Linked DNA regions of Neurospora crassa OR74A. Each later gene encodes a partner of the first gene's protein in a complex. Links are inferred from orthologs where the notes say so. Each region holds a gene or a part of one and is shown on either strand. Other genes may lie near its edges.

Evidence for each region. Proteins that work in one complex are often made in the same cells at the same time.
Region 2: NCU02757 (region 1) and NCU05714 share a complex: the UniProt entries of both Schizosaccharomyces pombe proteins name them as parts of the mitochondrial large ribosomal subunit. The link is inferred for Neurospora crassa OR74A from reciprocal best matches to the Schizosaccharomyces pombe genes rml2 and mrpl10.

The regions. Positions count from the first base shown.
Region 1 is NC_026501.1:3,453,337-3,461,402, reverse strand, and holds NCU02757 (mitochondrial 54S ribosomal protein RML2), read left to right. Parts: upstream 1-3,455; 5' UTR 3,456-3,839; coding exon 3,840-4,812; intron 4,813-4,874; coding exon 4,875-4,948; intron 4,949-5,012; coding exon 5,013-5,117; 3' UTR 5,118-5,486; downstream 5,487-8,066. Other genes in the region: NCU02758 (G2/mitotic-specific cyclin-B), read right to left, coding at 303-415, 472-610, 677-1,960, 2,057-2,068; NCU02755 (PAP2 domain-containing protein), read left to right, coding at 7,361-7,641, 7,726-8,066. UniProt on the Schizosaccharomyces pombe protein: Component of the mitochondrial ribosome (mitoribosome), a dedicated translation machinery responsible for the synthesis of mitochondrial genome-encoded proteins, including at least some of the essential transmembrane subunits of the mitochondrial respiratory chain.
Region 2 is NC_026503.1:604,512-608,065, forward strand, and holds NCU05714 (mitochondrial 54S ribosomal protein YmL10/YmL18), read left to right. Parts: upstream 1-1,226; 5' UTR 1,227-1,351; coding exon 1,352-1,692; intron 1,693-1,817; coding exon 1,818-2,415; 3' UTR 2,416-3,054; downstream 3,055-3,554. UniProt on the Schizosaccharomyces pombe protein: Component of the mitochondrial ribosome (mitoribosome), a dedicated translation machinery responsible for the synthesis of mitochondrial genome-encoded proteins, including at least some of the essential transmembrane subunits of the mitochondrial respiratory chain.

The sequences.
Region 1 (8,066 bases):
GAAAAACAAAAGCCAGCCCGTCGGCGCGGACCAGGTGATTAACCCTCGCCGTGTTTCCTAGAGCCGGTTCCCTGTGCATCAAGCAGGTAATAGGATGCTTTTTTTTTTGAGAGAGAGAATAGGAAAATTGGACGAACGCGGTCTCCATTGGGTTCAGAGACAAAAGGCATACCGTCATCTATAACTTCATGATATGTCGTCAAGCGCTAGCGAGATCCAACCGCATCGTAGCCTCTTTTGAGAACATTGTATGGGCCAGAACCCAAATGCTAGCCCGTGAACGCAGCTGCACCCAAACAAGCTTAAGGCAGCTGGTCAACGGGGCGGTCCTTGAGCTTGTCAAGTGGGATCTCGGCGTCAACAACGCCATAGAGAACAGCGTTCTTCTTGGCCCACTGCCGAGTAAGGATGGAGGCTGAGAAGATGTCAGAATAAGATTACGAGACAAGCAAGGCCGGTTGTTTGACATACCTTTGAGGAACTTCTTGCTGCCATACTTCTTGAAGAATGCTTCATGAATAACGGGACGGGCCAGATAGTCAACCATGAGATGGAATACAGGCTCGATCTCCTCCTCGGTATAGCCAGCATAGTAGGCGATAGTCTTGTCCTGTTATTATGAGTATTAGCCACAGGATGATATGGCGAGTATTATAAATCCATCTGTATAACTTACCCATTCTCCGCGGCCAAGGATCAATCGTGCCAAGTACATAGCAGCAGCAGCGACATGGCTGGGACGGTAAGGCATGAAGCGATGGTCCAGCAAGCTGATCTCCATCAGGTACTTGCCAAGGGTACGGGATTGAATATCGTAGTTGTCTGCCTTGGAGATGCGGCGGAGAAAGTTCATAGGGTTGGGGTAGCTAAGGTCGTAGTTGAGGGTCGATAGAATGAAACGCTCAGCACTGAGGATCTCAGCTTCAGTAAAGCCGTCATCTGCAACGTGGCGAAAGTTGGCAATATGGGGGGAGAGGACCTCCTCGTACTTGGAGGCAACAAACATTGCAGTGATACCCACGAGCTGAAGACGATCGAGCTGGACGACCTTTTCGCTCAAAAAACGATCGATGATGTTAACGGCAAGGAACAGCGTCTCGGGCAGCAGATGAAACCGAGTATGAACTTCAATGAGCCAGTCGATGAGAATGCCACGAGTCTTCCACTCGAGGTCGTCCTGGTGGCTCATGTACTGAGGGTTCGGCACTGATTTGCACTCGAGGTCGCGGAGGTACTCGAAAATTTCCGTCGCATACTCGGCAACCATAAGAGGATCCTCGAGGTCTTCAGTGTCAAGGTCCTTAACACCTGGCGGATACACTGACTGAACAGGGACGACATCGCGGACGACGGGAGCGGGGGGCTCGGCCATCGGCTTCACAGCCTTGGAGGGAGCATCGTTCTCCTTGGCCTCAGTCCTGGAAACCTTCTTCTTCTCGGGCTCTTCGACGTGGATCTTCTTGCGGGCCGGTTCATTTTCAACAGGTGCTGATTCCTTGATAGGGGCGAGCTTGGATGTGGACGGAGGAGGCTTGCGCTTGGCGGGAATGGTGCCAGCACCAGCACTGGGGCCGACCGTCTTGTTGGGCTCTTTGTTGGATAACGCACGGCGGGCAGTAGTCGCAGTACGGCTCGTAGCAGTTGTGGTCTTCTTCTGGATGCCACTCGGCTGGGCCGCCTTCGAAACTAGGCCGGGCTTCGCAATCGCTTTCTTCGTTCCCGCAACTTCAACCTTGGTGACATTGCTGACGTCGCCCAGTGCATTCCGCTTACCGACAGTGCGAGCGGCAGTGGCGGCGGTGGTTGTCGAAATCGTCGTCTTTTTGGTCTGCATGGTTTTCGCGGGCATGGACAATTCGTCGACATGGAGAGTGGCCGCCTTGGCCCTCGTCATACGTGTCGTGGTTGCTGTACTGTTCTCGTCATTTTCGTTCGCGAGTGAACGCGGGTTCCTCGTCCGCTGCAGGGTTGGGGTTGAGTTAGTACAAACATAGCATGGCTGTGGACAACCAATTGCATGATTGAACGACAATGCCAACTGTGCAGTAAAACTTACAAGATTCGGCATTCTCGCCTAAACCTATGCTGGCACAGAAATTGATGTGAAATGTGTCTACTGACGGGGAGGTCAGCTAGCTATTTGGATGTTTCGTTTTTGGCGAAGTTCGAGGTGGAGAGACTGGTTCTTATTGAAAGACCGATCCCTGTCACGGAGGGAGGGTTGACGCGAACGACGAGCGAACGACGAGGGAATTGTGAACACGGACAGTCAATGAGACTAGACGCACCGACTACAGAGCCCAAAGATGTCGGGAAGAATGAACACCGGCGGTCGGCAGTGATGTCGCTGTCGGCACGTTGTTGAAGCCGGAGATCAACCCTGGGTCCCGCAACAGAAGGTTGGCTGAGACCGTGAAGGATGTGCTGTTGTTGATCGGGAATGTTGCCCAATTGGTGACGACGGTCGGGGCAAAGCACGCAATGGCGACGTCCGGAAAGATTGACTGATCGAGGCCAAGGGTTGCCGTCGTGATGGCAAGGCCTTGCGAGTCCAGGTGATGCGGAGTGGGAATGCTAGTTGGCGGACGGGAAAGGGAGGTATGATGTTTACGAGGCAGAGAAGAATGGGAGTCTTGTTTTTGCGAGGTCTTGGTGGAGGTGCCAGTGCCAGTGCAGCCCAGTGGATGGGGCTGGAGTGCCAGTGGACGGAGCGGGCGTGTGGACACCCACCCAGGTACCGGATCGGACGTGCTGGGACTGGGGCAAAGTACCTCTAGTGCCCTTCGAGGTCACTAGTGCAGCGAGGCTTTGAAGCTTTGAAGTCCAAGACACCGGAAAGGGAACAAAATTACCACAACAAGTGATGACGCGCCGTGCAATATGGGCTTCTGTCAGACGCACGTCTTGCTGTTCCCTGCCTTGCTAAGTTGTCGAATGATGAGGATGCCGTTGTCGAATAAGCAAGTCGAAAAGGTTGTACTGCCGAAGAAATGCAGGCTTCAATGGCCGGAGTCGAAAGTTGCTGTTGTTGCTGTAGCTGAAAGTCGATTGTCGTGCGTCCAGGGAAATGGTTGTTAGTCGGATGGTGAGTGTCGAGTTGCAGAATCCGGAGTCGAGAAAGCGGCCAGGAAATTGTACTTGGGCCGGGCGCTGTTATGGAGCACTGCAAGCAGAAGGGACAAAGAAGGGTCGCACCTCAAACACGCAGTGAAGGAACTGAAGGCGGCAAGGCCACCACAGGCCACGTCCCTCCCTTGCTGTCATCCGCCCGCCGTCAGGGCAACACTGGCAACCGCAGGGCAATTCGGTCAAATCAGCTTCTGATTGGTTTAAACTGTCCAACAGGCTGCGCGTGTCCAGCAGCTGTCAACACTAAGGTACCTTACCTATCCTGGGTCAGACGCGACTGGAACCTTGGGCGGGCAGGAATGGAGCACGATGCACGCTCTTTCCCCGCGCCGCACTGCACCTTCACGCGGTGATGACTTGGTGCCTTCCTCCCGCGCCCGCGTTTTGGAGCGCTGTTTGCAGCACTTGTCCCCTGGAAAGAAACAAGGCTCTTCACCAAAGGGCAGTGGCTGCACCACACAAGCCACACTATTAGCAGCCACAATCGTCAGGGATCGCAAACCAATGCACGGCTGTGATTGGCGCATCAGCCGAGCAATTTTCCACAAGCAGTTATCGACGACAAGCCGGCGACGAGAACCTCGACGAGCAGCCTGCGAGGACGTCGCATTCCGGTTGCTGGAAATCGCAGCAACTGTCCCCTCCAGCACCCTCACCTCCCCAGAGCTCACCGCCAGGAGCTTGGGATATCCGACAGCGATCGAGCAGCCATGCTGCAGCCTCAATTCCGACCCCTCCTTGCGGGGACAGCTTCCTTTGCCCAAACCGTGCTGGGCCGCACCGTCGCCAGATGCTATGCCACCAAGGCCGCCACACAATCAGCAAGCAGCACCAGCACCAGCAACACCAGCAAAGATGCCAAAGCCAAGATCGTCACTCCCTACGTCCGGGACGCCGGCATGATGAGAACCTACAAGCCGCACACGCCCGGTATCCGTCACTTGAAGCGCCCGATCAACGACCACCTGTGGAAGGGCCGGCCGTATCTTCCTCTTACCTTTCCCAAGAAGGGTCAATCTAAGGGTGGCCGTAATCACAGTGGTCGCGTCACCGTCAGACATCGCGGTGGTGGTCACAAGCGAAGAATCCGCATGGTCGACTTTGAACGATGGATCCCCGGTCCGCACACAGTCCTGCGCATTGAGTACGATCCCGGTCGCAGCGCGCACATTGCGCTGGTGAAGGAAGAGGCCACAGGGAGGAAGAGCTATATTGTTGCGGCGGATGGTATGAGGGCTGGAGACGTTGTGCAGAGCTACCGGTCCGGTCTTCCCCAGGACCTGCTCGATTCTATGGGTGGTGTCGTTGATCCTGGTATTCTGGCTGCGAGGACATGCTGGAGAGGCAACTGCTTGCCTGTGTCCATGATTCCGGTTGGAACCCAGATCTATTGCGTTGGCTCCCGTCCGGATGGCAAGGCTGTTTTCTGCCGCAGTGCCGGAACATATGCAACCATTATTTCCAAAGAGGAGGAGACCCGTGAGGATGGTACAAAGGTTATGACGGGCAAGTTCGTCAACGTAAGACTGCAGAGCGGAGAAATCAGAAGGGTCAGCAAGGACGCTTGCGCCACCGTTGGTATTGCCAGCAACATTATGCATCACTACAGACAACTGGGCAAGGCCGGTAGAAGCCGTTGGCTCAACATTAGGCCTACTGTGAGAGGTTTGGCGATGAACGCAAGTGAGTAGACTCCCAGAACAATCCGTTTGTCAAGCGAGCAAAACCAACTAACGGCCTGGTAGATGACCATCCTCACGGTGGTGGTCGTGGTAAGTCGAAGGGTAATAGGCACCCTGTTTCTCCTTGGGGTACACCTGTAAGTCATGCCCCTTTATTTCCTTCCTTCCTCTGAACAGACGCCTTACCCTCTTTTTCTGTAGGCCAAAGGTGGTTACAAGACTCGCAGAAAGTCCAACGTCAACAAGTGGGTGGTTACCCCCCGGGTCCGCAACATGGGAGTCCGGAGGAACAAGAAGACTACATGAATAAAATAACCCACTGTGCTCAACTTGGGCTATATACCCACCATCTTGTACAATATGTAGTGAAACTTATTCATTTGCTCGCAGGCCGGCAGTTCGAGGGCTCAGTATATCACCGGAAGGATGCCATGTGTGGGTATTGGGCCCAATAACATCGTCTGTTGGAGATCTGCCGTGTTTGTCTTTGTTTTCCACTTTCAACTGAGCAACTCTACGGCGATGTGGTTCAGGGCCCGGCCAAGGCCGTGACTGTGCCTATAAATCGGCATACGACTTCAGGAATGTACCAAAGACTACACATGGGGTTTGTTAGACTCCGTTGTCATATACCGACCCCAACTTAACAAATTTTTTATTGATTTATTTACTTATAAAATTTGTTTAATTTTCCTAAAAAAATTAAAAAATTTTTTTTTCCCTTTTTTTTTTTTTTTTTTTTTTTTTTTTTTTTTTTTTTTTTTTTTTTTTTGCGTTGATTATAGACAACAGACTACAATGAAAGAAACTGAAGGCGTTTGGTCATTGGAGTCGGTCGAGTTGTCCAATCACATTTTGCGTTCATCTCTTCTGCAAGGAGCAGAATAACAATGCCGTCCCCCTTCGCCCTTTCAGATCTGCTACCGGTTCTGTGAACGCCATCCTGAAAAAAAAAAAAAAATAGGGGCGTAAATAGCCGCGTGGGTAGACCTGAGCGCAGCGAGATTTATATGCATTCCAGCGGTGGTATCTTTACAGTGGTTGACTGTGTAAGGGCATATCACGACAGCGTCTCGGTATGCGCCCGCAATTCGGCCATACATACAACGCCATGAAGGAACGAGGGTCGACAAAAGGCAAGCATAGTCTCATCTCCATAGAGGTATACCACAAGATCAACGGGGGTGATGAGTACACTATTTGAAGCGTCTCTTCGGTGGTTTGGGCAGAGTTTAAGGTTTACGCCATTCTTTTAGTGTACATACTATTTCACAACGTTTCGCTCGTTCAGGGCAGTCCCCTTTGTACTTCTGGAGATTGAATGGGATCGATGGAATCGGTAGTTGTACATTAACTAGTAAGGAAAACTGAGTGCGCCACCATGTCTGGTACCTCACGACCCCGACAGGTCGGCACAATAAATATATACCTAGGTACCTAGGGTACATCGTACTTCTCTGCGGTGCTTCTCACCCTACACTAAATGAGTTAAGATGCACTAACATGGAAAAGCTGGGGAGTAGGTAGGTACCTATGGTTGCCCCCATACATACCTCATCCATGTCGGGTAGCGTTAGAGGTACGCGGGACTGGGGTTCCACTTGGCTAGGGGCCACTGCCTAAACCACCCCCCTGAATGATCTAGATTTCCAGGTTGTTACAAGATCGTTGGTTTCGGTTGTAACCTCAACCGGCATGCCACCGAGGAAGCTGCCATTCTCTTGTTTCCCATCCGCTCTTGACCGAATAACTCGTTCACCCTCGATAATCTCGTTTTCACATTGGTTTTCTTCTCTTCGCTTCATTTAAACTTGGTTATAACTGTTCTCATTCTTTCTGAGCCGCCGTTACGGGACTCACTGCATCGCCGCTGGGAGTACTTATTGTCGACCTGTCAACTGACTTCAAGCAGATGGGAGGAGTGCGGACTGCGGGGACCAAGCAAAAATGTATGTAGTGTACCTAGTGCAGAAACAGGCATGGGGAATCTATGTTAGCGTTACACGTGCGGTCTTAGAAAGAGGCTTAGACGTCTTGGGTAGGAAATCGTGGACGCTGATCGCTGGGTGAAACTCATTTTCTGTCAGACCGACAGGTTCGATACAAGAATGAACTGTTCAACCTCTGCCGTGCTCTGCACACTCATTACATGCACGCGCCAGGTCTCCGGCTTCACGTACATACTGCGTACTCCCGTCACGACATCTTTGTGCTAGTCCGGCTAGGTTGTAGGCTAGGTACTAGTACTTAGTTTCCCCAAAATATCATCTCGGTTCCCAACCACTGCAGCCCATAGGTTTGTATTAGCCTGGTCACACCTCTTGTCGCTTCACCCTTACATTCAGCTGCGGCTTGCGCCTATTGAAACATCCTCCTATTACCTACCCACGCTACTCTTTCCGGCTGGCAAACGCGACCAGGCGGACTGCTAAACGGACTGGACGCAATCTGACCCAAACTTGCGCTTCCGATCTCTCATCTTGCCGTCCCTTTTTTGCTCGAGGTTCTCTCTCCCATCCGACCACCCCTCGGATTCTCCTTAGGTCCTCATGCCCGACGATTCAGAAGACCTCCTCATCCCTCCAGCACATGCTCGCTCGATTTCACCATCGCATACCGGCTATACACCACCAACTTCGACGACGCTGATGATGGACAATCTCAGGCACACCCGAGCTGGTGGGCTAAAGAGGAAGAGAGGAGGATGGGTGGTGGTAGTCTCGTATGTCTTTGACTGGGTCATTATTGCTGTTGCCGGAGTCATTGGCTATATTTTTGGGGCTAAAACCCCAAACAAGAGACCTTTCTCACTTTACGATCCCAATATCTCGTATGTGAAATCAAACAGTTTTTCCTGACAGTTTCTGCTTGATCCATTCAATGGATGTGATGCTAAGAGGTACAAACTCTCCAGATTCCCCTTTACAGTAAAGGAAACTGTGCCCGTCTGGCTGGCAACATGCATCAGCGTGATCGCCCCCATCTTCTTCATTGCCGTCATCTCGCTGATATTCGTCCCTGGCGCTACCGTACCTCGGGGCACGCCGAAGGCCTTGATTTGGAAGCGAAAGCTATGGGAACTGCATATCGGCTGGCTGGGGTTGGCTCTGTCGATAGCGTCAGCCTGGCTGATCACGAATGGCATGAAGAACCTTTACGGAAAGCCGCGACCGGATCTTCTTTCGAGATGCCAGCCCGATCTCGCCAATGTCGCCAAGTATATCGTTGGAGGTTATGCTAATACCAGCATGAATG
Region 2 (3,554 bases), on another chromosome or scaffold:
CTTTCCCGCTCGCAAAGAAACCCATTTATCAGCCCCAAGACAGAAAGCAAATATTGAGAGACCACATTTTTGAGGCCCTGAGAGGCTGTCCAATTGACATGAAGAGCAAAAAGCTCGGTCGCCCAGGTAAGTTTGTAGAACGAACGACAATACCCCAACTGCAGACCTACGAAAAAGCCACACATTTTCATCAACGGGAACCACTGTGCCAAAAGATCACAGAGTTCCGTTATGCCAGAGAGATCAGTTAGGGAACCCGACCTTATATAATACCTGTAGGCTACAGCAGAGGGTACTAGAGGTTTGCGGCCTGGGCGGGAAGGGATCTTGTCATCCGATGTTCCCGTCGGTGAAGGGCGTGCCGACCGATTGCCGGTGGCAGGAGCGGTGGCAGGTACCTGGCGCGTGGTTTGGGCTTGGGACTGACATTCCATGCTTGAAATTCAGACAGACTTGAGTGAAAAGCCATTTCGGAGCGGCGCTTCTCTGCTTGACTTGGAAAGTTCCATCACGATCGGTTATGTTTATCCCGCGAAATGACTGCACGCTGTCCCTTGCTCTGTTCTGCAGTAAACGTTATCCGACAGCAAAGAAGGCTTAACAATTACATTCTTTCTATCAGCCATACAAACACCTTCAGTAAATCAAAGTAACATTCAGGCAATTCCAGCGTGTATGTCACTCATGCCATTCTCAACACTCCCGAACCCCACCAGCTCGATTGGCTCATGGCTGACACAGAACCCCCTTCGACACGCCCTACTTCAGGACTTCTGTGTAATTCTAGCGTAGGTCGCAGTTGAGACCCATCTATAATAGGTTTCTAGTATGAGCTGCTCTTGGCTGCCTGTTTTGCGTTGCTCTCAAAGGCAATACTTTAAGCATCCCACAGTTGTACTTGCACAATATTTTCTCAACGCACCTCCAATGGCCTCGGGACACTCAATTTATGATCATTCCGACTGGGTGGAAAAATTCCCTAAACTCGCACCAGATGTTCTTCAGCCTGTTAAGCCGCGGTACAATCACTCTTAGGGACTTTCACCGCACTGAACCTTTGACATGTTCTTGCATATCCCGTGTAAGTGATATCGAACATGGATATTTTGGAGCATCACGGTCCCTTGGCGAAGGACGTCGGATGTGGACCAGCTGCTGACTCAGCCGCCCATTCGCAATTGACCGAGACCAACGAGGGCGCACGGTCCACCCCCGCGACGCAGGTGTCGGAATTTGGCTGGGCGCGGGTCCTGAACTTTTGTTTTCGGGGAAGTGCCGTTGCCGTGAGGAACGGAATCCGGAAGACTGCCCGACCCAGACCCAACCCACTCCCGTGTCCTCCGCCTCCGTCATGCCTCCCAGGTTACCGCTCGCCCAGGCGGCGCGATGCTGCCAGGCCTCCCTCACAGCCCGCCCTTCGGTCCCAGCCTCGTCGCCGACGTCGTCCCTCATTTCGCTCTTTGCTGCCCTCTCCGTCCAGACCAGGAGCGCATCCATCCTCGCCAGCCTGTCCGACAACCGGGGCGCCTACCACAAGCGCATTCGCAAGGGTCGCGGTCCTTCGTCCGGCTATGGCAAGACTGCCGGTCGCGGTACCAAGGGTCAGAAGGCCCACGGTCATGTTAAGCCATGGTTCCAGGGTGGTCAGACGCCCTTGATCGTCTCTCACGGCCGCAAGGGTTTCGTTAACCAGTATGCCGTCCCGACTTCCCTACCTCGCTTGCTATGCGCCATGGCCAAGAACTCTCCAGCATGCTATCCGATAACCTATACCTACCAGATACATGATGGAGACTAACCATTTGTGTCTTTCATAGGTTCGCTGCCGACATGTCCGAGCTTAACCTCGAAAAGCTTCAGGAATGGATCGAAGCCGGCCGTATCGACCCCACGAAGCCCATTACCCCCAAGGAGATCATCAAGTCCGGCATCATTGGCAGCAGCATCAAGGACGGCATCAAGCTTCTCGGCCGCGGCAAGGAGAGCTTCAAGATCCCCGTCACCATCACCGTATCGCGCGCGTCCGCCTCCGCCATTGAGGCCATCGAGGCTGCCGGCGGCAAGATCGTCACCCGATTCTACACCAAGGAATCGCTCAAGCGTCTGGTAGAGGGCAAGTCTCTTCATACCGACAAGCCGCTGCCGGTGGGCAAGGAGCACGTGGAGGAGATCCTGGCGCAGGCGCGATCGCTCAAGAAGAAGTACTACCGCCTGCCGGACCCGACCAGCCGTTGGGATATTGAGTACTACAGAGACCCGGCGCATAGGGGCTACCTCAGCCACCAGCTTGCGCCTGGCGAGTCGCCCAGTTTGTACTTCAAGGTACCGACGGGCGGCGAGAAGGTCAAGGTGGTCAGGGCCGACAAGGTCAAGGCCAGCAAGACCGGGGATGTGGCGTCGGAGAAGCTCTTCTAATGAACACGAACATTGCCTGGGATGGCGGTTTTTCCGAGACTCGTTGTTGCGCTCTTCCTCGTTGTTGTATGATAGGTACTGGGCCCGTTCATGGCTCTGTGCTTTGTGTTGTATTATTATCATCCGCGTATTGTCAGTCCAGCGTCTTGCTCCTCGGATCAGTTCTATTTGGGTCCTTGTACATCATACAGGTCTCACCTACGGGAGTGGATTCCCACATGCGGCCAGCACTCCACTTGCTGACAACGCAGGTGAATCATGAAACTCCCTTGATTGACGTGTTCCTGCTTTTGCGATCCATCGTAGTTCGAAGATGGGCTTTATAAAGTAAATATCACTTGGCTGCGTGTTGACATGGTCCAAACGACGGATCTCGAAGACTTGCTGTCCCGTACCTGGCAGTCGGAAGAACAGCCATTGGCCAGTGACATGTCAATCCCGCAAGCTGACCCCGGTCAAGTCCCGGTCCTGGGCGGTCCCCGGCCATTCCTTCCAGGGCAGCTTCCACGGGGACGGTGAATGGGGGCATTAGAAAATATGGGTCTGATCACGTGCCAGGTCGCTTTTGGTACCTTCTCCATACCAGCTTGTAATTACGTCCGAAAACAGCCGTCAATACCCGACTTCTCTGCAAATTACCAATTAGTGTTAGGGTTAGTTAGGGTTAGTTAGGGTTAGTTAGGGTTAGGGTTAGCTCCGGGGGTGCAGGGGGCCGGTGAGAGGCCCCCGCATGTGAATGTGAATCGTTAATATTGACATATGTCAACCATATGCCGACCATATGTCTTGTAATTACGGTAATTACACGGGTGACTTTCGATACCTTCGGCTTAAAGAAAGTGGAGTATGCACGGACCAGTCTAATGCCCCTAATCACCATGCCCAGCTTCCACAGCGGGAACCGTCCACTGAAGCCACTGTATGCAGCCCTCCCGAACGGGATTGTGTCAGCTTTGGAGTCGGCGCGTGCCCTCCACCCACTCTGCCCGCCGCGGCGTCATCATTGATGCATCTTGACTTTTCTTTCCTCGAGCGGGAGAGACCAAACTTTGTCGTTGTCAACATCACGACCTGCTTCAACTTTTTTCTTCATTTCTGTGTTTCATTTTCTTCTTTTTCTTCTTCTTCTTCTTCTGGCT